Linked DNA regions of Struthio camelus. The protein of the gene in region 2 interacts with the protein of the main gene of each other region in a pairwise test. Links are inferred from orthologs where the notes say so. Each region holds a gene or a part of one and is shown on either strand. Other genes may lie near its edges.

Region 1 (10,283 bases), about 210 Mb from region 2:
CCTGGGATTTACGACTGGATAAACTGAGTATGTAAATTAAAGCTTGTATGCTGTTAATGCCACAGCCAGAGAAAAGCATGTTGAGAAAAGTTGCGAGATGAGATGTAATTATGTGAAACGTTATCAGAGTGCCAATAACTGAACTGACAATGTCGTTTTCCTGTGTCTGCATGGCAGTCACTCATGAACTGTCACTTAATACTGCCTGTTCCAGCAGGATTTGATTATAACAACTGCCAGAGACACGTAAACTCGTCCTTGACTGAGGGTGATTCTACACCATTGCTTAGGCTTCTCAGGCAAGTACCCCATCACAATTAACTAGGAGTATGGGCAAACATGTTTGTCACAATGAAGTAAGTTCGGGTTAAGATTCCAAGCGAAATAGCTATTCCAGGCTGCCACGACATGTGTTTGAACCCGTGGTAAACGCCTGCAAGTTAGCAGTTACTGCTTAGAAATCCAAATTCTAATTTATCCTCAAGTAACTTGTTTCTGCAGCCATTCTCCAGATTTCTTTCCTAGACCTTCTATCAACTTTAACATCAATAATTTTTAAGATCACCAGGACTTTCTGCTGTTCGTTGATTTCTGTTTATCTAATTTGCAAGAACACAAAGACTTCAACAGGAACAAAAACATTCTACTAACGACCTTCAATAACTTATTTTAAACAGTGTTTCTTATTTCCTTTAATTTGACCTTAGTACTAAGAGAACGTGGAACAGGAAGACGCATCAACAGCTATTTTAAGTTTTAATACTTACTTATGGTGACTACTGCTGTGGCGGTGATGATGGTGGTGATGGTGGTGGTGTTTTGAATGATGCTGGTCCTTCTCAGTAAGAGATGAGGATGAGGAGTTAGAATGTGACGATCCTAGGCTCTTCCTCTGTTCTTTTGTCTTCTGTAGTACTCTCTTGTAGGACAGTGTGCAGAGCCAACACAGTAACTTTCCATCAACCTTTTGGGAAATAATTCACAATTTTGTTTCCAAGTATACTTGCACTAGAAAGATGTACCTTAGTATTTGCCAGAAAATCTTTTTATCTGTTTGTTATCTGTAAGAAAAATCTAGACCTCTCTTTGGCATGAAACAGCAATAGCATATCCTCAAATATATGCATGGTATTATTTAATATAGCGAATCTCTTCTCATTTCTTTTTGGCATTTAAAGTTATGCTACAAGACAGTTTTAGCAAATATTTGTTATTGCTAATAATAACAGACCCACTCTGTATCATAAAAGTGAGAATGACTTTTTTAAGGGGTAAATCATTTTTGGTTTAGACACCATCTATGCTCTCAACCCATCGTATTCCAGAGCAGAATCAAGATGTCCAGTCAATGTATTACTTGTACCGAGTAAATTCTTCTGTAAAAACAGCATTATTCTTGAGTTCAGGCAAGAGGTTTATGAGGTGATTTCCTCAGCACCTTCTGGAATGAGAAAGTGGCACTCACCAAAGCTATTTAAGAAAGTAGAATACAAACAGCTGCTCAGAGCAGTCTACCTCTCTCTGGTGCTACACTTTTAAGACAAGGCAGGCAGATCGGAAGTGGTGAACTGACAGATTCAAGTTTATGACACACATAGGATACGACGGATGGGGAAAAAAACCCAAAGCACCAAGAACAACTCAGCTACTTAACCTCTGTTCATCAAATACTACTGTCAGCTTACTCTTAAGCTTATTAAAAAAAGAACGATTCACTCTAAAATAAGTTAGCCCAATAGCTAACGTAATGATTCTAACTTGTGGAATTTAATGCAAATACTGAAAAGCACAACACAATGACTTTAACCTGATATTAGTGAACTTCAGATACCCTCCTGTTAATCTTCCTCTTATGAAGTAGAAGTGTCTTCGATTGTCAGCCTAAGCCATTACAGATCTGGAGCAAAACATACCTTCCTTCTTCCTTCCTCTTTTCGATCAAAAGCGCATTGCTGTTTGCACTGTTCGCATGTCTGAGGTGGGCCATACTTCTTTTCTGAGTTTGTGCAACGCTGACATTTTGTGCCGATAAATGCTGCAATAATATTACAATACTGACAAGGCTTGGGCTGAAAAACAGGTAAGTGGAACAAAAGTTAATATATTTACGGTTTCCATAATGAGCTAGTGCAGATACTTCAAATCACACAACAATACTTCTAAACTACTAGGGCTTCATACGATCCATCTCTCAAAATCCTTTTTCTTTACTGGTTCTACCTTCAACACTAACTTTTTCCCCTAAGGTAGTGGTCCTTCAACTGTCAAAGAAACTCTGGGCCTTCTACGAACACCTGAGATTCTATTCATTGAAGAACACACATACATTTTGACTGCTCATTTTTCCCTCCCTCCCTTTTTTTAATATGACAGCATCTTCTCCTCTCTTTTACAGCATTACTAAAGCAGCTACCTAAATAAAATTTAAATAAGTAATCAAGCCATTTTTAGGCCCCAGTTTCCAAACTACTTGAATTACTCGGGGATTTGAGCACCCTATGGCTCCAAGATTAGCATCTCTGTCCCTGCAGCTCTGTAAGAAACTTAACAAACCTTCAGATACCTTTAGATCAGATTATCAGCTTTTATATCATAGAGTAATACAAAACTAGAAGATAGTAGTTTTCTGGCAGTTTTCTTTAGTCAGAAATGGCTGATTATCTTCAATGCAGTTTCCTTTTTTAATTAACTGTTGCTAAAAATGTTGTTGGCTCTGTATTATATTTCATTGTACAATATTTTAAGACTTTCAAAGAACATTCTTTTTGTTCCACTTTACATTTACAAAATGCCTGACTATATACCAACATCTGTCATGTTTCTCCAATAAGCTGAATTTCATGTAATATGGTGTATGCTAAGCACATAGAAGTCAAGCACTTCTGTTTCACGAAGATTATCTCAACACCTTTTATAAACTAATACCTGCAGCACACTAAGATGCAATGCAGAATTTGTGTATTCATATATGAAAAAGTTCTCTAACAGAAGTGAAGCTGCAATTAAAGCTGAGAAAACGCAAAATAACATTAATACAAATAATACTCATGAACCTTTAATACTTAACACCTTAATACGGTTAACAAGCCTCTAAAAATTTTAATACTCACATCATATAAAAAAAATCATACAGCTTTTCACATTTAACCACTCATTAAAAACACATCTAAACATCTTTCTGATGTCAAATGTTTGCTTACGAGAATATGCAAAGAATTATTTTACATGCATAAAGTGAGATAACATTCTTTTTGCTATGAATAGCTGTATTGCAGTTATTCATAACTGTTACACTATATATAATCACAATGAATTTTATTTTGAAAAAAGGAACTGTAAGCGAGGAAGGAATTCAAGAGCTGGCAATAATCTTCATCACTTTTCCAAAATCTATTTTTCTTTGTCAAAGGAAAATAAGAAATTTAATTCCTAAAAGATTTTTTCTTTTAGAATGTGAACGAACCTGAGTTCAGTTTTCAGAATTAAGAGCCTACTCACCGTTCCAAACTGCTTCACGTTTTGGGCACATTTCTTGCATATTGTATTAGTTTTGCTAAAGATAAAATTGCATAATGTTGAATTCAGTGACATACATGGACCTGGAAATTCTTTCCCATGCAATTATTAAAAAACACACATGCAAATATACGCTATAGTAAATAGTGAATGATAAGCAGACAAAGTGACCTGCCATTGTACTGTGTTTACACGACACACTTGGGTCACTAGAGCAGACAGGTTATTTTACTGTGGTTCAATGGTCTTCCAAGAGTTTAATATTTTCCCCTCTCTCTGTGAATTTCTGTTGTTACAAACAGTTATGACTGCAGAAACAGCTGTTCTTTCTGCAGACACACTGATAACCCAAGGCACTAGAACAGCACTGTGCAGTACGCTTTCCAACGACTGAATTACTTTCATACCTCTCTTGTTGAAATTCCGATCGGCAGTAAGTGCATTTTACAATGGGATGTGCGATGCGACATTCCTAAAAAGAAAGAGAGTGGCGGCTGCGTAAGTAAAAACACACGCAACCAAATGAGTGCCCTCACTTGACCTTCCACCTTTCGCACTAGAAGCGGCTCGCACAGCTCACTACACACGCCGCTGCTTGAAAAGCGCTCCGCCAGGCTGGCGGGTGCCTCCCTTCACCAGACCTGTCTCACCGACCGGGGTAAACAGCAAAAACATCCTCCGCAGGAAACAGAGGGCTGCCAGTGCCAAAACCCCAAACCCGGCCCTCGTAAAGGGGCGGCTTTCCTGAGGCGCCTCCCGGGGGCCAGGCTGCGCGCCGCGCGCGGGGAGGCACCGTCAGCCGCGGGGCGACCGTCCCTCAGCCGCGGAGCGCTCCCGCCGCGCGCGGGGAGGCACCGTCAGCCGCGGAGCGACCGTCCCTCAGCCGCGGAGCGCTCCCGCCGCGCGCGGGGAGGCACCGTCAGCCGCGGGGCGACCGTCCCTCAGCCGCGGAGCGCTCCCGCCGCGCGCGGGGAGGCACCGTCAGCCGCGGAGCGCTCCCGCCGCGCGCGGGGAGGCACCGTCAGCCGCGGGGCGACCGTCCCTCAGCCGCGGAGCGCTCCCGCCGCGCGCGGGGAGGCACCGTCAGCCGCGGAGCGACCGTCCCTCAGCCGCGGAGCGCTCCCGCCGCGCGCGGGGAGCCGCCGCCCGCCCCGTGCAGCCCAGCCCCGCCGCGAGCGGAGCAGCGCGGCGCTCCAAGCGGGCCCGGTCAGCCCCTGCTCAGCCCCGGCGGCGGCCGGCGCTGTCCCGCTAGCCGCCCCTCAGCGCCCCTGCCCAGCCCGCCGCTGCCGGGCGCAGCGCTCGCCGCACCTTGCAGAGCTGCTGGCCCTGGGAGAGCTCCTCGAAGGGGTAGCGCTGGTTGCACTTGGTGCAGGCATAGAGAGCCGGGGCGGCCGCCGCTGCCGCCGCCGCCATCCGCGCCGCGGCCGGCAGGGCGGACACGGGCGGGCCGAGGGAGGGGAAGAGGGAGGTGCCGGGGCGAGGGCCGGAGCGGCCGCCTGGGCCGCCGCCAAGGAGCCGCCCGCGCTCCCCCCCTCCCCCCCCCCCGCCGCCGCCGCCGCGCCGCAGGAGCGCGCCCGCCGCCGCGCCGCGCCCGCGCCGCCCTAGGCCCCGCGCAGAGCCCGCGCCGCGGAGCCGCGTCCCCCTTGTGTCGGTGTCGGCATCGGCGTCACCCTGCACCCCCGCCCTTCCCTCCACCCCGGGCTCGGGCTCCCGCGGCAGCCAATCACCGCCTCGCGCCAAACCTGCCTTCAAAACTCGCCGCCCAATGGCCGCCCCCGCGGCCCTCGCCGCGGCCAATCCGACCGCTCTTGCACCGCCCTGCGCTTGCCGCTGATTGGGTGGCCTCGTGGGCGCCGCGCTGATTCGACCGCTCTGGGCGAGTTCGGCTTCCCCATTGGCTCCAGCTCAGGGGCTCATTTTGACAAAGACCATCCTCTTCCGTTCTCTGCCCTCTGCGCGTGCGCAGGAAGCGCCCTGCGCGGCACACGAATCCCGCGGTCGCTCGCTCCTCCCCAAGTTGTCCCCTTCTATTGGTTAAGGAATGGCTTTTTTTCCTCTTTATTGGATAGAGAGCATGTCACTCAAACCTCAGTTTATGACGTAAACGCGTAACTGTCCAGGGTGGGGCTTACCCCTGCTCCGCCTTTCTCATTGGCAGGCCGAGCCGCCAGTCAAGCGGCACGTTCGGGCGCGGGAGGCGTCGCTGTGGGGCCGGGCGGAGCGGCGGAGGCTGCACGGGTCTTGTGGCCTTAAAGGGCTATGCGGTAGCGCGGGCGGCCCGCAGGGGACATGGCGGCGGCGGCGGCGGGGGGTGACCATCAGCGCACGGTGAGGCTCGGCGGGTGTGGCGGGCGACGGTGAGGGTGGGGGGCCTGGCTGGTGGGGGCGCCTTGGGGCCGGCCCCGGGGGCTGCCCGGCCCTTCGAGCCCGCTCGGCCGCGCCGGACCGGGCCGGTTTTACCGGCCGCTCGTGGCGGGGCCCTGGCAGCCCCCGGGGGAAGAGCCGCGGGCGGGAACGGGCCCGCGGGCCTCTGGCCGGCAGCCTGGCTGAAATGGCGCCGTTTCACCCGAATTACGGTACGAGCGGCCGCAGGGTTTCGGCTAGAAGCGAGTAAAAGGGCGGCGAATCGGTCCCGCGCCGGTGCGACAAGGCTATCTGGTGGTGTCGGCTGGCGGGGCGTGCTCTTCGGTGAGCGCGGGGCGAACCGCGATTAGGCGGCGGGGAGTTATAGTTGCTCAGGGTCAAGCCTCGAGTTCAGGCTCAGAGCTTCAGGAGCGAAGTGGACTGTGGAAACTGTCTTTTAAGTCCTGTGTATATACATCAAAAAATCATAGTATGATTCTGTACCCATCTCTTATAAGAGGATCAGGAAAGGGAAAAAATACTCTGCTATTTAAAAGCGGCCTTTTCCCTGGAGGAGCATTCAAAGAGTAGATTTGTAAGTGAATGCATGGGAATGAAACTTGGTAATACAGTCTGTTTCCAGAACCAGTTCTGGGGACATGACTTTGGAAACACCTATTTCAAAATGTGATGAGACTCAGCTCGGCACTAAAATTCCATGATGTTTGATCATGCACTTATGTTTTAATTGTAACCGGTTGCAAGCGGTTCCTTTTGAGAGCTGGTAGTGTGTCTACTGCATGCTCTCCAAACCTTAGCCTAAACCTCAATTTAGTTTTGGTAAGTAACCACATCCTTAGGTATGTATATAAGAACCTGGCTAATGCAGAAGTAATGCAGAGGTAAGTAGAAGCAAGGCACTAGAAATTACTCTTTATGCTCTTCTTGAGGTGCAGTGCTTAGAGAAGAAATGAGACTAGTGTCTCTGCTTTGTGAAAAGCAGTATGAAGAAACTGAGGCTTGACTAGAGTTAGCATAGTTGAGCTTGCTGAACTGGGTGGAGGCTGCCTGGAAGCAACTAGAGACCATGGAACAGAAGTTTCAATTTGGGTTTCTCATCTGACATCTCGGTCTGATGTTTGTAGCTCTCCGAAGTTGGATCCTTTTGCAAGTAGCAGTGTCTTATGAGTAAGCAACTTGGAAGTGCAGCGATGGTGCAAAAAGATGCAGCATGGTGGTAGGAAACGTATTTCTTGTGAGCATTCTTGATTTGGGGTCTCAGTAGTATCAGCTGCTTGATAAAACTAGCCCAGCTCAGGGTTTTCGGTTGTTCTTCTCTTTCTCCTTCTCCTCCTGCAGTGTGGTTCCGGGATGTACACCTGCAGTATTAAGAGAGGTGACAGAGTGTTGTGAGGGTTCCTATATCCTTCCTGACTAGTATTTTTCTAGGATGCATTGAGAAGGATGTCAGAAAATGGGTTTTAGCCTCAAGTTAATGAACAGTAGTAAAACAAAGCTTTTAGGAAAAAAATTTTCCACTGAATATTTTTCATATCTGCTCACGCAGAAGGTAAACAGTGAAGACCCAAAAAAGAAGAAAAGCAGACTTCTCACTTTATTAAAATCAGTATGAAGTTCAGACTTTTACCACACCCTACAGCAGAAAATAATAATTAAAAAAAAAAAACTGTCTCATGCTAACATTTTTTCTTTTTTGCTGTAAGGGCTTGACCAAGTTTTTTTTTTTTTTTTTTTTAAGCTAGAGATCTTGTTTAAATTGAGAATGTTCCTAACTCAGTTGTGTATCATTCGGGCACAGACAGCACTTAAGTTAGTTTTTGAGTGGCAGGGTCTATTCCACCCTCCCCTTCCCCAATAATGAGGGAAGATGGCAGACTAGATCTTGAGAGATTCTCTCCCAAGTGGCTGTTCTGAAATCTTCAGTAACTGCATAATTTTCACCCATTTCTGCTCTTTTTTTTTTTTTTTAATCAAACATGAGGACTACAGGATGTTATTGAAAGCATCATCCAGCTTCAGACGATTACCTTTTAAAATATTTTCATAGAATATATATACACATATGTATATATATGTATGTATAAGAACTTGTAAAATAGCACCTTCTCTGACTTATTCCCTTTGTCCAGTGCCAAACTGCTAGTACCAATGGCACCATCTTGGTGCCTTTATGCTTTCTTGTTGCAGTTATTGCCTGACAGAACCTTCCTGTGTTTTTCTGCTGCTTTGGTTCTATAGTTTGTATATAAATCATTGCTATTTTTACTCTCCCCACATCTAGTCAAATTATGGTGAGGAGGGAAAAAAAAACAAAACATCAGGTACTTTTTTTCCCTCCCTGAGATCATTTAGTATGGACATGCTGTTTCAGGGAAATCTTGAGTGTGATAGGACTCTAAAGCATTTGGTATAATAAGATTCATAGTTGTCTGGATGGTTGTTCATGGCTGGTGTGCCATACTATCCTTTCCATCGAAAAGTGCTTGATTTGAAAAGTGTACTTCTGCCATTAGTTGCTAGTTCCTATGTTAAAACTTTTCTGATGTTCTGGACCTTTGCATTTAGTCTTGGGTAGCTTTAAGAGGTCACCGTTTCCTAAGGTTAATATACCTTAGTATATTAAGCTATTATTAGTCTGCATCTTAAATATACTTTCTTGTGTACTTGAGCAGACAGCCGATATGAAATGACTGCACAAATAAATTTTGGAAGATGATGTCCTCAGATATGTAAAGGTTAAAATATGTTCAGTTCTCCACCATAGCATAATACTGTTGCACTTAGCTGCTGTGGGACTGCTAAGCTGCTTTGCTTGTTGTTATGAGGCTTCTGTGTGGTTTAAGGATGGAAAGAAGATAGAGTATCGAAAAGAGGGGATAAGGTGTAGTCATCAGATATGGCCTGCTCATAATTAAGAACAAAGAGTTACCTGATTGTCACACTTTTGTTTCCTCTGTTTCAGGATTTTCCCAAAATATGCGCAATATGGTGATCCCCATGAGAATTTCCAAGAGCAGAAAACTGACTTAAAAATAATTTTTAATGACTTGGGAGAACGGGGAGGAGGAGAAGAGCAGGGAATTACATTGCAATCTGAAATTTGTGGTGTTGAGTTCCTTGCTGCCGTTTCATAAGCTTTCTCAAACTTTTCAGCTCAGGTGTGTTTAGAAGTCATTTTTATATGTGAAACGGAATATAAAATGGTCTTGTGCTCAATTGTGTACAGAAAATATACTTGTTAATGTGATTCTTTAGACAATCATTCCTTCTTTCAGTCTAAACGATAATATGGATATTACTTCAGCATGAATTTTTAAGTATTTATTTCAAGCATATGTCTGCAATGAGTATTATAGTATTCAAAGATAAATTAATTTTAATGCGTAATTTTAATGCATAATGTATTCAAGTGGTATTTTGGAGAAATGCAACTTTGCAACTTGATGTTTAAGTATGCTAGCTTTTCCTTTCAGTTAGTCCGTTATTGCCTAAGTAGGTGTCCCTTAAGCCAGTGAAGAAAGCAATTTTTTTTTTAGTGTAATTATTTTTAGTTCTGCACAGACAAAACTTTACAGCTGAAAAATGAAGACATCTAGGAGAGTTCAGATGTCTGACAGCCCTACTTTGATTTAAAACCAATGCACCTTTTCTTCCACTGGCTCATGGGATAGCTTCTTGTGATTCGACAATAGATAAAACTACTTTCTGCCTTTTTGGGCTGATGAGGCTTACGTTGGCGGCTGCTGTTACTCTCTGCCTGATGCATAAATTCTGTGTTTTGTTGTTTGATCTTACTCATTATTCTGCTTGTAGCAATTTAACATCCTGTAACATTGATGGTATTTTTGCAGGAGTGGGATCTAATCTCGCTGCCAGCAGACTTTCCTGTAATTTTAGCACTAAATGTTTTACAAAGTTAGATCATATGGCTGCTGGGGCATAAAACAGAGAGTGTATATGCATGTGTGCAAAAAACTATTCAAAATATTTTTGTAAATATATTCTTAATTAGGGATGAGTATTTCTGTTGGCTTTCTGTGGTGGCAAAAGCTCTTGTACAAATTCAATTATACCAAGAAAAGTGCTTATGTTGTTTAGGAAAATGTTATAAACGTGAACTGCAAGGAATTCCTTTGCAGATAAAGCTGTGTGTAGAAACACTGAAATACTCAGGGCACTTAGAGTCTTGATTTTTCTCATCCGCAATGAATCATTTTGTTTTTAACGTGAAGTTAGCTGCGTATAGGTTTTAAATAACATATGACTGACTGAGATTTTTCTTTTCCTCTTATTTTTCTTTCTCTCAATGCAGTTTGAGCTGTTGTCTAACTTACTGTGAGACAGTAGCAGACAGTAGCATAAATGGTTTCTTAATTCTTAACTTAGTTTCTAGTATTTTAATT
Region 2 (10,605 bases):
ACAGCTCTTGCCTCTTGGCTTCCATATCTTGCTGGTGCTGCTTCTCCATTTCCTCAGAGGACAGTCGAAGTACAACATATTTCTCTTTCAGATCAGCCAGCTGCTCTTGAGCTTCCTCCAGTTCTTTAGCCAGATTGCCATCTTTGGCTGACTTGTTCTTGAGGACCACTTGTGCCCTCATCTTGTACCTTTCAAATTCTTCCTTCAGCTGCTTTAGCTCCTGCTGATAGTACAAAGCAGTTGCCTTCTCGCCATCCCCAGTCTCAGTGCCCTTCGGCAGCTCCAGCTCACACAGCTTCTCGAAGTCCAGAGCAGGCTGACTCTTCTTAGCTGCTGCCTGCAATAGCTTCTTCAGCTTCTCCATTTTATCCTTTAGCACATTCACATCAAGGTTGCTTTCTTCTAGATGAATATCAGCAGGAGAGCGGCTGGACGCAGCAATGGCTAGGGTTTTGTTCTCCAAGTCCAACTGTACAATGCGGTCCTTCAGTTTCTGAATGACCATTTGGTCTTTCTGCTTGGCTTTTTCGTAAGTGCCAAGTAGTTCGGACACTTCGGAGACCTGGCCCTCCAAACTAGCCACTCGCCGCTCCTCCATCTGGGCGTGCTGGCGGAGCTGCTCCTCTGCCTGTGCAGTCTGAGAGCAAAGAGACACGGGAGGGTTAGATTACCTCAACACTCTCTGCAGGAGGTCTGCAGTTTACCCAGGGGCTTAATTCTGCTCTGATGAATTCCAGGCAAGGGCTGAGCCATCCTTTCCCCTAAAATCCTGTACAAGCCACTACGCTGACTTGCCCGTATTGAAAAGGGAGATTCAAGGATAAAAGAAACCAAAGGCATTTTTGTTTTTACTCCCAGTCCTCCAACAGAATTCCTGTCAGCAGTGTTATCTGTATTGCTACAGGTTGGTGGGGGGTAGGAAAAAGCAAATTCATGTCACAGTCTGACATAGGATGTTTAAAAACATGCACGTGCTTTAAAACTCTCATATCTCAAACTACAATTTATTTAAATGCTATGCTTTGTTGCACTGGTATTAACATAATTCAGTGGTTCCTGAGTAACTACAACAAACACCTGGTGCTCACAGTTTTTATGGCTATCGAGAGCCAACTGTCTAATAGAAAATTTGAATGGCAGCACTTGACTGACCATCACGAATTAAAGCATAACTGGGGTCAGATCATTGTCACCTCTGTCAGAGAACGTGTTGCAGATACCGTCCAAAAAGAGGCAAATAGCGTGAAATCAGCCTAGTCCCTAATTAGACCCTTCAGATTAGAAAGGAGAAAACGTGTTCCACGCCGAGGGATGAGGAGGATACCATTCTGGAGTGCTTCCGGCTGCAAATTCAGTTACTGGTGCCATCTCCTGAGCACGTTGCCCCACAACCCACAGAGTTACACAGGTTCCTCTTTTACATCACATCCCTTGTTCTAGCTCTTTTCTCTCCCCACATGCATGCAGGCAAGAGCCTTTTTCTCATATTTACCTTTCTTCTTTCCCCAGAGCTCTTCAAACTTCACTGAAAAGTAACCCCAGGCCCTTCAATAGCACAGGCCACGAAGCTCCCTGGGCTTACGCTAGCCAAACCAGTTTATGTTGTTCCCATCAGCACGGATGGGCTGTCACCTTTAGCTGCACAGCATCTTTCACAATGGATCAGACAAGAACCTCTGCAGTTTGATAGCTTTTGTCACAGCAGCTGTGAAATTCACAGAAATCTCTCATCTGCCATGCTGTAGAATAGGAAAAGGGAAAGATGGTTTCATGACTTCAACAAGCAAGTAGTGCAGGCCCTGAAGACGAAGGCATGAGAGGCCTTATTTCACAATTATCTCCACACTCATCCGGGGAAAGTCCTACCGATTTACAGAACATTGCATTAGAAGTTATTTCCTTTTATGAGCTACAGTAGTTGTACCTTGCATTGCCCTTAAATACTTTACAAGGACAAGAGCACATTCATTGCCACAGTGAGTCAAAGCAAAGGTCTCTCCTCCCATCCCAGCCACTATCACACCAGATGATAACGTGTTCAGAACCTAATGACGCTCTAGAGGATAGCCACAGCCCAAGCACCTCATAAAGGCTGCTCCCAACGCCCATGGTCATTAGCCCCTGCATAGTATGACTTACACACTGAACCACAAACAGCCTTTATTTTCCTCAGGGAATACCGTCTCATCAAATAAAGCCATGATGTTCTTACTTATTTCAAACTTCTTGGACAGGGAAGGGAAATTGTGCCGCCACTCCAGTCAAACCCTGCCCCCTGACTGCTGCTGCTATGTCCCGCAGAGTAAGCTGCTCAAGCACACAGCCAGGGAATTACCTTTCTCATCTCTTGCAATAGCTGCACTTGGAAGTGATTCTTGAGACTGGCCATCTCCTCCTGCAGATCCTGTATCCGTGGGTCTGGTTTGTTGCTCTCTTCCTGCACAGTTTGCAACTCTTTTTTCAGGTCTTCTACCTCCTGGCTCAGCTGCTTGATCTGCAGTTCATACCCCTCCGCACGGTCAGCCAGGCATACCCTCCCAGCCAACAGCTCCCTGGTCTCCTCTAGCTTTAGCTCTACGTCCTGGCGTGAAGTCCTCTCAGTCTGGAGCAGCTTCTGCAGCTCTCGCAGCATAACAGCGTGGTCACCCTGTTCTTGGGCTCGGTCATGCTGCTGTGTGATCAGACGGGCTTTGGTCTCTGCTAACTGTTCCTGGACAGACTTCAGCTCGGTCTCCAACTTGTCCCTCTCATCCTCTGCTTTCTTAACGGCATCATCCAGGTCTTGTTTCATCTTCTTCTTGTCTGCTTGGTATGAAGCTTCCATGCGAGATTTCTCCTGTGTGACTGTGGACAGAGCACTGGTCAAGGTGGCCAGCTGAGTCTTCAGCTGGAGCACTCTTTTATCAGCCTCACCAGCAGATGATGGCACATCTCCGCTGTTTGTGCTGATGCCGCTCTCTGAACCGCTTGTCTCCTCTGATTTAAGAGAGGAGGCAGTGGCCGCAGGCTTATCATCCTCAGCTCCTGGTTCAGCTTTGGTACTGGCCAGACTGGCAGCCGTGTCTGCACTGGTGGCTGTCCCCACGCTATCCTCACTGTGAACAGAACTCCTGTCATCAGCAGAATCGGCAAAGGAAGAGCTGGAGCTTGCCACAGACGCAGGGTGAGCTCCACTCAAGCCAACATCTGCCTCATGAGACACGGACAATACTTTCAAGCTAGCTTCCAAGGCCTCCTTTTCTTTGAGCAAGCTCTTGTAGGCTCTGACAACATCCTTCAGCCGAGCCTGGTACTGAAGAAGCTGCTTTTTCTGAGATTCAATAGTTTCTAGAAGATCTTTTTTACTTGGGCCACCTCCGAAGTTCATGCCAAACTTCTCCATGATGCCCTGTGCGATCTGAAACGAGAAGGAGAAAACCAGTGCACAGGCTAAACAAAGAGCAAAGACATATTTATGATTAACAGGAGCAGGTTGCTCATCAGGACCAGCATGCTGGACTCCCCCTGGGACACCAGTTAATGACCCTGTAACAGAACAGCCTAAGAAACATACTGGGCTGCTGTTAGGCCGCAGAAGGGTTGAGGTGGGCAAGGACCTCTGGAGACCGGCTGGTCCAACCCCCTGCTCAAGCAGGGTCACCGAGAGCACGTTGCCCAGGATCGCGTCCAGGTGGGTTTTGGAACATCTCCAAGGAGGGAGGCTCCACAACCGCTCTGGGCAACCTGTGCCGGTGCTCTGTCACCCTCGCGCTGAAGAAGTTTTTCCTCATGCTCAGACAGAGCTTCCTGGGCTTCAGCCGGGGCCCGCTGCCTCTCGTCCTGTCACCGGGCCCCACCGGGGGGGGGGGGGAGGGCCCAGCCGCGCACCGCCAGCCCGGAGCCCTACCAAGGGGGCCTCTCCCGGGCCGCCGGGGCTGGGGGAGGCATCGGGGCAGGAGAGAGGGCAGCGACGGGCCGCCGGGGGCGTCCCCAAACCCCCCCTCCCGCTCCCGGCCCGCGCCGCCGCCGCCGCCCGGGCCTCACCTGCAGGCCGGCGGGTCGCAGCCTCCACTGCGCAGGCGCGGAGCCCCCCCCCCCGCCGCCCGCCGCGGCTCAGTGCGCACGCGCCAGACCGCCGTTTTTTTTCCCCCCCCGCCTCCTCCACCCCCTCCCGGGAGATCGGACTGCGCAGGCGCGAACCGCACCGAGGCGCGAGGGCGGCGCCTGGCGGGGCGCCCGTCACAATCCGCCGGGGTGAGATTCCCCCTCCCCCCCCCCTCCCCCGGGGCATGCGCACATGGGGGCGACACGCCACAGACGCGCCGCGAGCGCCGCCCGCGGAGCCAATGGGCTTCAATGCGCAGGCGCAGCCCCGCCCCCCGGGGGGGCCAATACGCCATCGGCAGCAGGGGCGGGGGCGGAAGTGGGCGGGGCTTCCGTGGGGACGGGAGCGGGGGGGGGGTGCGCGCGCGCGCGCGCGTCAGAGGGAAGGGGCGAGGCCCATGGAGGCGTGTCACGGCGAGGGGCGGGCCTAAATAACCCCGGGGGCGGGGCTTCTCCGGCGGGGCGCCGTAAGGCAGGGATGAGGCCGAGGGGGCGGGGCTTCGTCCAAGGGGGCGTGGCGGCCGGGGGGGCGGGCCCGAGGGGCAGGAGGCGGGCCCGGGCGGCGCGGGGGCGCAGGGAGCGGGCGGGGCCTGGCTAAGAGGGGGCGGGGTCTAGCTAAGTGAGGGCGGGGAGGGGGCGGGGTCTGGCGGGGAGGGGGCGGGGCCTGGCGGCGAGGGGGCGTGGCGCGGCGCGGCGGAGCGCCGAGGCAGCGGGGCCGTCGCGTCCCTCCCCTCCCGCCGCCGCCGCCGCCGCCGCCGCCGCCATGGGCCTCACGGTGTCCGCCATCTTCTCCCGCATCTTCGGCAAGAAGCAGATGCGGATCCTCATGGGTGAGCGGCGGGGGCGGGCGGCGGGCCGGGGCCGGGCCTGGGGGCACCGGTGACCGCCGCCTCTCTGTTGCAGTGGGGCTGGACGCCGCCGGCAAGACCACCATCCTCTACAAGCTGAAGCTGGGCGAGATCGTCACCACCATCCCCACCATCGGTGAGTGGCCGCCGCCGGGCCGCCCCCGGCCGCCCCCGGCCCTGGACGCGGCTGGCGTCGCCGGCCCGGTGCCCCGTCCGCGTGCCGGGGGCTGCCGGCCGGCTGGGAGGGTGGTCCTGGCCCGGCGCGGTCGAGCGGCCCTACCGCGCGGAGGCCGGGGGCCTCGGCAGCGCCTGCCGCCTCCCGCCTTTGCAGCCTTGCCGGGCGCGCCGCCTCGCTCGGCGAGCAGGGTTGGCTTGTGGGCCACCTTGCGCTCGCGCAGCTTGGTTTGCGGCTCCTCATCTGCCTTGTGTTGGCAAGCGCTGAACTGAAGCCCTTACGTCAGCGTGATCTTGCTTCGGTCTGGTTCAAAGGCACTTCGCTTGGCGAGGAGGCCGCCACGTGCTGTTTTCAGAGCCTGCCCGAGCTCTAAAGGCAGGACAGGTTGTTGTTCCTGCCGGCGCACGGGTGGAAAGCCTTTAGGGAGGCTTTCAACGCTGTCTCCCATAACATCTCAGACAAACTGGTGAAGGACACGCTAACTAAGTCAACTGAAATCTGGCTAAACTGCTGGGCTCAGAGGGTTATGATGAGTAGCACAAAGTCCACCTGGAGGCCGGTCACGAGTGGTGCGCCCCAGGGGTCCATACTGGGGCCAACACTCTTTAACACCTTCGTTAATGACCTGGGTGGTGGGACCGAACGCACCCTCAGCAAGTTTGTAGACAATGCAAAAGGGGGAGGAGTGGCTGATACCCCAGAGGGGCCTCAAGAGGCTGGAGAGATGGGCAGAGAGGAACCTCATGAAGTTCAACACAGGGAAGGGCAGAGTCCTGCCCCTGGGGAGCAATAACTCCAGACACCAGGACAAGCTGGGGTCTGCAGCCAACTGGCTGCAGAGCAGCCTTGCAGAGAAGGCCTAGGTGGTCCTGGTGGGACAACAAGTTGAACATGGGTCAGCAACATACTCTTACAGCAAAGGTGGCCAGTGGCCTCCTGGGTTGCATTAGGCAGAGCGTTGCTAGCAGGTCGAGGGAGGTGATCCTTCCCCTCTGCTCAGCCCTGGTGAGGCCACACCTGGAGTGCCGAGTCCAGGTCTGGGCTCCTCAGGACAGAGAGGCATGGACCTGCTGGAGCATGTCCAGCAAAGGACCACAGAGATGATGAAGGAACTGGAGCATCTGTCATATTAAGAAAGGCTGAGAGAGCTGGGACTCTTCAGCCTGGAGAAGAGAAGACTCAGGGTGGTGTCTTATTCGTGTGACTAAAGAGCTGAAGGTAAGATGTTAAGAAGATGTGCCAGACTCTTCTCAGTTGTGCCCGGTGACAGGATAAGAGGCAGTGGGCGCAAGCTGAAACACAGGAATTTCCACTTGAACACAAGAAAACACTCCTTCACTGTGAGGGTGACTGAGCACTGGAACAGATTGCCCAGAGAGGTTGTGGAGTCTCCATCCTTGGAGATATTCAAAATCCACCTGGACACGATCCTGTGCAATGTGTTCTACATGACCCTGCTTGAGTTGGGGATTGGACTAGATGATCTCCAGAGGCTCTTCTCAACCCCAACTGTTCTGTGATTTTTGGTACATGAGTATCAGCCACATCTGGGCTGCTGAGGTTTTCAAGGGGATGTTCCCAGGGGCTGGCTGGTGAAATCATGCAGTGCTGGTCCTGGAGAGCTGGCAGGGCCAGGATAGACTTGCTGGGCAATGCTTGTGAGCGTGGGGATGCTCAGCTTGCAGAGTGAGCAGGCTGAGGGCAGGAAGCTCTGCAGCATGTGTTTCCTAGACCCTCTGCACAGCCGAATTGTGTTAACAGTGCGGTGCTGGGGGTAGAGATGCTCCCTGGGGATTGGTGGCAGATGAATGCAGCAGTGCACCTTGGTCTCCCTTCCTGCACTCCTGAGACACCAGTGGGTGTTGTATGCCTGATGCTGCATCATCTCCCTGTGCGATTCTCTGTCCCGCAGCTCAGAAACACAGAGTTTGATCAGACTAGGGCTGCTGCCTCCTGTGTCTCTTGCCTGTGGTCTGAGAGCCCTGAGGCTGCCAGCAGGATTGACAGTGTGTGTGCTGTCACTTCTTGCCCTTCCTGCCACCCCTGCAGGGTTCAACGTGGAGACAGTGGAGTACAAGAACATCTGCTTCACGGTCTGGGATGTGGGTGGCCAGGACAAAATCCGCCCCCTGTGGAGGCACTACTTCCAGAACACGCAGGTACGTGCCGCCGCAGGCCACGGTGGATGTGGCTGTTGCATGGGGACCCCTTCAGGCCTCTGTGCTGCTGGGGGGGCGAAGGGTCATGGGCCCCCACATCTGCAACAAACGCTGTTCTGGTCGGTGGGATGAACCTGCTCCCCTCTTAGCAAAAGAGGGCATTGCGTGGGGAAAGGTCGAAGCTCATCGTCACCTCTGGTCCTCGAGTGGCTGGTGGCAGGCTTTCTTCCTCCTAACGAGGAACTGAGCAGGGAGCTCGGCTGAAGTCACTCTCGTTCCCTCGTGTGCAGGCATGTGCTTTGGGATTAGAGGAAATCTGGGATAGTGCTTGGTTGAACTTCATGACTTGTAGCGATGCAGGGTCCCAGCAGCCTGTGGTCCCTTGGAGCTTCTGGCATGATCCTGCCTGAACTGAGCGTGTGAGTGGCTGCAGGAAATAATTCCTGGCTCCCAGTGCAGTGAGCCAGATGGGTCCCTAAGGACTGTATCTGGATATTTCCCTCAGCTCCTTAGCAGGAAGAGAAGTGTCTGAGATAAGAGTCCTTCAGAGGACTAGGTGTAGGACTAATTGGGCAAGGTTAATCACCCTTGCTGCTCTGGTTCGGCATGGGCATGGGCTGAGGAGGGCTTGGCAGGCAGCTGAGTTGTTCTCTGTTTGTCATGGGGTGTCTGTAGGCTGCCCTGACATCTACCTCCTCGCTGGGCCGGGCACAAGCTGCCTGCTCCAACCTTGACTTCTCTTACAGGGCCTCATCTTTGTTGTGGACAGCAATGACCGTGAAAGAGTGCAAGAGTCTGCAGATGAGCTGCAGAAGATGGTAAGTGTTGGCGGGAACTGCGTGTGCCCGGCTGAGAGATCTGGTCTTGCACGGAGGCTGGCTTGCCCTGGCAGAGGGGGCTGTTGCATTGCCAGCCTGGCTGTCCTGGGGCACAGAAAGTATCTGCCCCAGCCCTGCAGAAGTGCCTTTGTGCCAGCATGAGGCAGGGACTGGAGCATTCACCAGTTTTTGTCAAACGACTTGTCTCTCCCTGTGAAAAGGAGCAGCAAGCGTCTGTCTGCTGACACAGAGATTGCTTCCCAGGAGACAAGGTTTAAGGATCAGACGACAATTCTAATCTACCAGGCAGAGGCTTAAACTGTAGTGATCAGGAGCAATTGCAAGAGGGGTAAAAAACACAAGAAAACACAGTTAAGAAAACACAGTTCTTGGTTATACTTAGGGCTTTCTTTAGCTGAGGCACTGAAACGGCCAGTGCAGGAGCCTGCTGCTCTCAGGTTATTGTGTTCTGAACGTTCCCTGAGTCCACGAGGAGCCCACGCACAGTGTGGCGGCAGGCGAGTGTTTGGAGCACTCTCCAAAGCGCTCTCCTGTGGCCTGTGTCAGGGTTGGCAGGAGGGGTGGGAAGGCTGGGGAGGCTGGAGGTCTGGGTGCCCTCGGGCACCGGCATGCAGTCCCCAGTCACCTTCTCAGTGGGATCTGGTTGAGGGGTGAGCTGGGGCTGCTCATCCCAAACGTGGGAACTCTGTTTTGGGACACGATGTCACACGTCCTGGGAGGCCTCTCGCCGTAACCACGCTGCTTTCCCTGTGCTCTGCATGGCCTCACTGCTAGCCTCGAGCTGCCCGGGGTGCTAACGTGCTTCGAGAGCTGAGCTCTTGGGACGTGGAGCAGTGGACTGCTCAGTGCTGCTCTGAATGTGCTTTCCCTGCCCCGATGGAGGTGCATTTAGCTGCTGATTTTCCAAGCCTTTTAGCTGCCACAGGGCCAAACTGCGTGGGGCACGCGTAGAAACCATCTCTGTGTCAGCCTGGCTCCTGTTTTCACTGCCCGCAGAGACCGGGGTGAGTGAGCATGCTAAAACCTTGTGCACATGAGGAGGGGAGGCAGCTTCCAGAAATGCCATCCAAAAGCCAGTTTGCAAGGTGGGGATTGTTTACTCCTTGGCTTAACAGTCTTGGTGGGTTCAGGGCATCCTTGGGGTGGAAAGCTGCCACAGAACTGAGCGTGTAACAGCCTGTGAGCAGGGCAAAAGGATGGGATCATTCGCACTGACCCCATTCTGCTGTCGAAGAGCTCCATTGTATTCACAAGACAGATTTTCTTCTGCGTTTGTAGGGGAGAGCCTGATAGCCTGGTACCTCTGATGTTAGATAACATGTTTCTGGCAGTGATCTCAGTCCTGGAGGTGCTTTTCTTCTGTCTCCTGTACAGACAGAAAGAGCAGCGTCCTCCCAGTTACGGCTCCCCTGGAGCTTACCCCACATCTGCCGCTGTGCCTCCCTTTCCCTCCCGTGGATTTGAGCGCTCCAAAGCCGAGGTCTCCTTTGTGAAGAGCACAGCTGCTCCTGGTGGAAAGGCCCAGAGACATCTGTTCCTCACGGCTCTGGCTCTCATGCAGGGTTTGGAGACCTGCTGCAGAGCCGGTAACTGACCTGTGCAAAAGTGCTGTTAACACAGCACTCAGGAGCTCCAGCAATGGGGGTCTCTGCTGAGACACCGATGGATCTGCACTGCAGAAACCCTGAGCTTTTCCATGCTATGGGGATCCTGCGCAGGGTCCCTGGGTGTCTGTCCTGTGCAGTCTCACTGTGACAGTCCCAGTGCTGTGGGTGCGCAGGCTGGAGGGCTTGAACTCCAGAAGTGAGCACGTCCTGCATCACCGAGACCTCCAGGCAGTGAAGGGGGTGGGAGGGAGGAGCCAAGATGCTGGAAGCGAGCGGAGGAGCTGATGTCCTCCTGGCTCTTTGGGGTCCCTCCAAAGCAGGCCGTCGCGTCGCCCTGCCAGGACCCCCGCAGCAGGGTTGGCAGAGCTGCGGAGGTACAAGAGGCTGGTTTGCTGGCTCTTCTCCGGCAGCGCCTGGCTCAGCCATCTGCACCCTCTCCCCGCAGCTGCAGGAGGATGAGCTGCGAGACGCTGTGCTGCTGGTGTTCGCCAACAAGCAGGACATGCCCAACGCCATGGCCGTGAGCGAGCTGACCGACAAGCTGGGCCTGCAGACGCTGCGCAGCAGGACTGTAAGTGTCCGGGGCGCTGACCCCGTCCCTGCAGGAGATGCTTTGAGTGGCCTCGGGGCCGCTGTTGGGACGCATTGGCCATGCACGCACGCTAGTGCGGAGCTGGCACGGAGGGGCCAGGACGCGGCCAGGTGGCGCTGGCTGCGCAGAGCCGGCTCCGTGCCGTGAACGGGAGAGCTGGTTGTCTCCCCGTGCGCGCAGAGCGCTGGCTTCCCGTCACCAGCCAGCGATCTGCAGAGCTGAAAGCCGCTGCCTGCCTTGCTGGCTGCCGCCACTCCTTCTGCCTCTGTTTTCCAGTGGTACGTGCAGGCAACTTGCGCAAC

Evidence for each region.
Region 1: the proteins of GCC1 (region 2) and CEP57 interact in binary tests that used the Homo sapiens proteins (3 or more experiments, as listed by UniProt). The two-hybrid records come from large-scale screens. The link is inferred for Struthio camelus from reciprocal best matches to the Homo sapiens genes GCC1 and CEP57.

Annotation. Positions count from the first base shown.
Region 1 is NC_090942.1:211,615,540-211,625,822, reverse strand, and holds the start of CEP57 (centrosomal protein of 57 kDa), read left to right. Parts: upstream 1-5,476; 5' UTR 5,477-5,805; coding exon 5,806-5,844; intron 5,845-10,283. Other genes in the region: protein FAM76B, read right to left, coding at 768-964, 1,914-2,069, 3,499-3,553, 3,924-3,988, 4,825-4,929. UniProt on the Homo sapiens protein: Centrosomal protein which may be required for microtubule attachment to centrosomes. May act by forming ring-like structures around microtubules. Mediates nuclear translocation and mitogenic activity of the internalized growth factor FGF2, but that of FGF1.
Region 2 is NC_090942.1:1,067,642-1,078,246, forward strand, and holds the start of GCC1 (GRIP and coiled-coil domain-containing protein 1), read right to left. Parts: upstream 4,249-10,605; 5' UTR 4,024-4,248; intron 3,910-4,023; exon of another isoform or gene 3,887-3,909; intron 3,681-3,886; exon of another isoform or gene 3,554-3,680; intron 3,398-3,553; 5' UTR 3,383-3,397; coding exon 2,336-3,382; intron 638-2,335; coding exon 1-637. Other genes in the region: ARF5 (ADP-ribosylation factor 5), read left to right, coding at 4,847-4,913, 4,987-5,067, 7,156-7,265, 8,012-8,083, 10,157-10,282, 10,580-10,605. UniProt on the Homo sapiens protein: Probably involved in maintaining Golgi structure.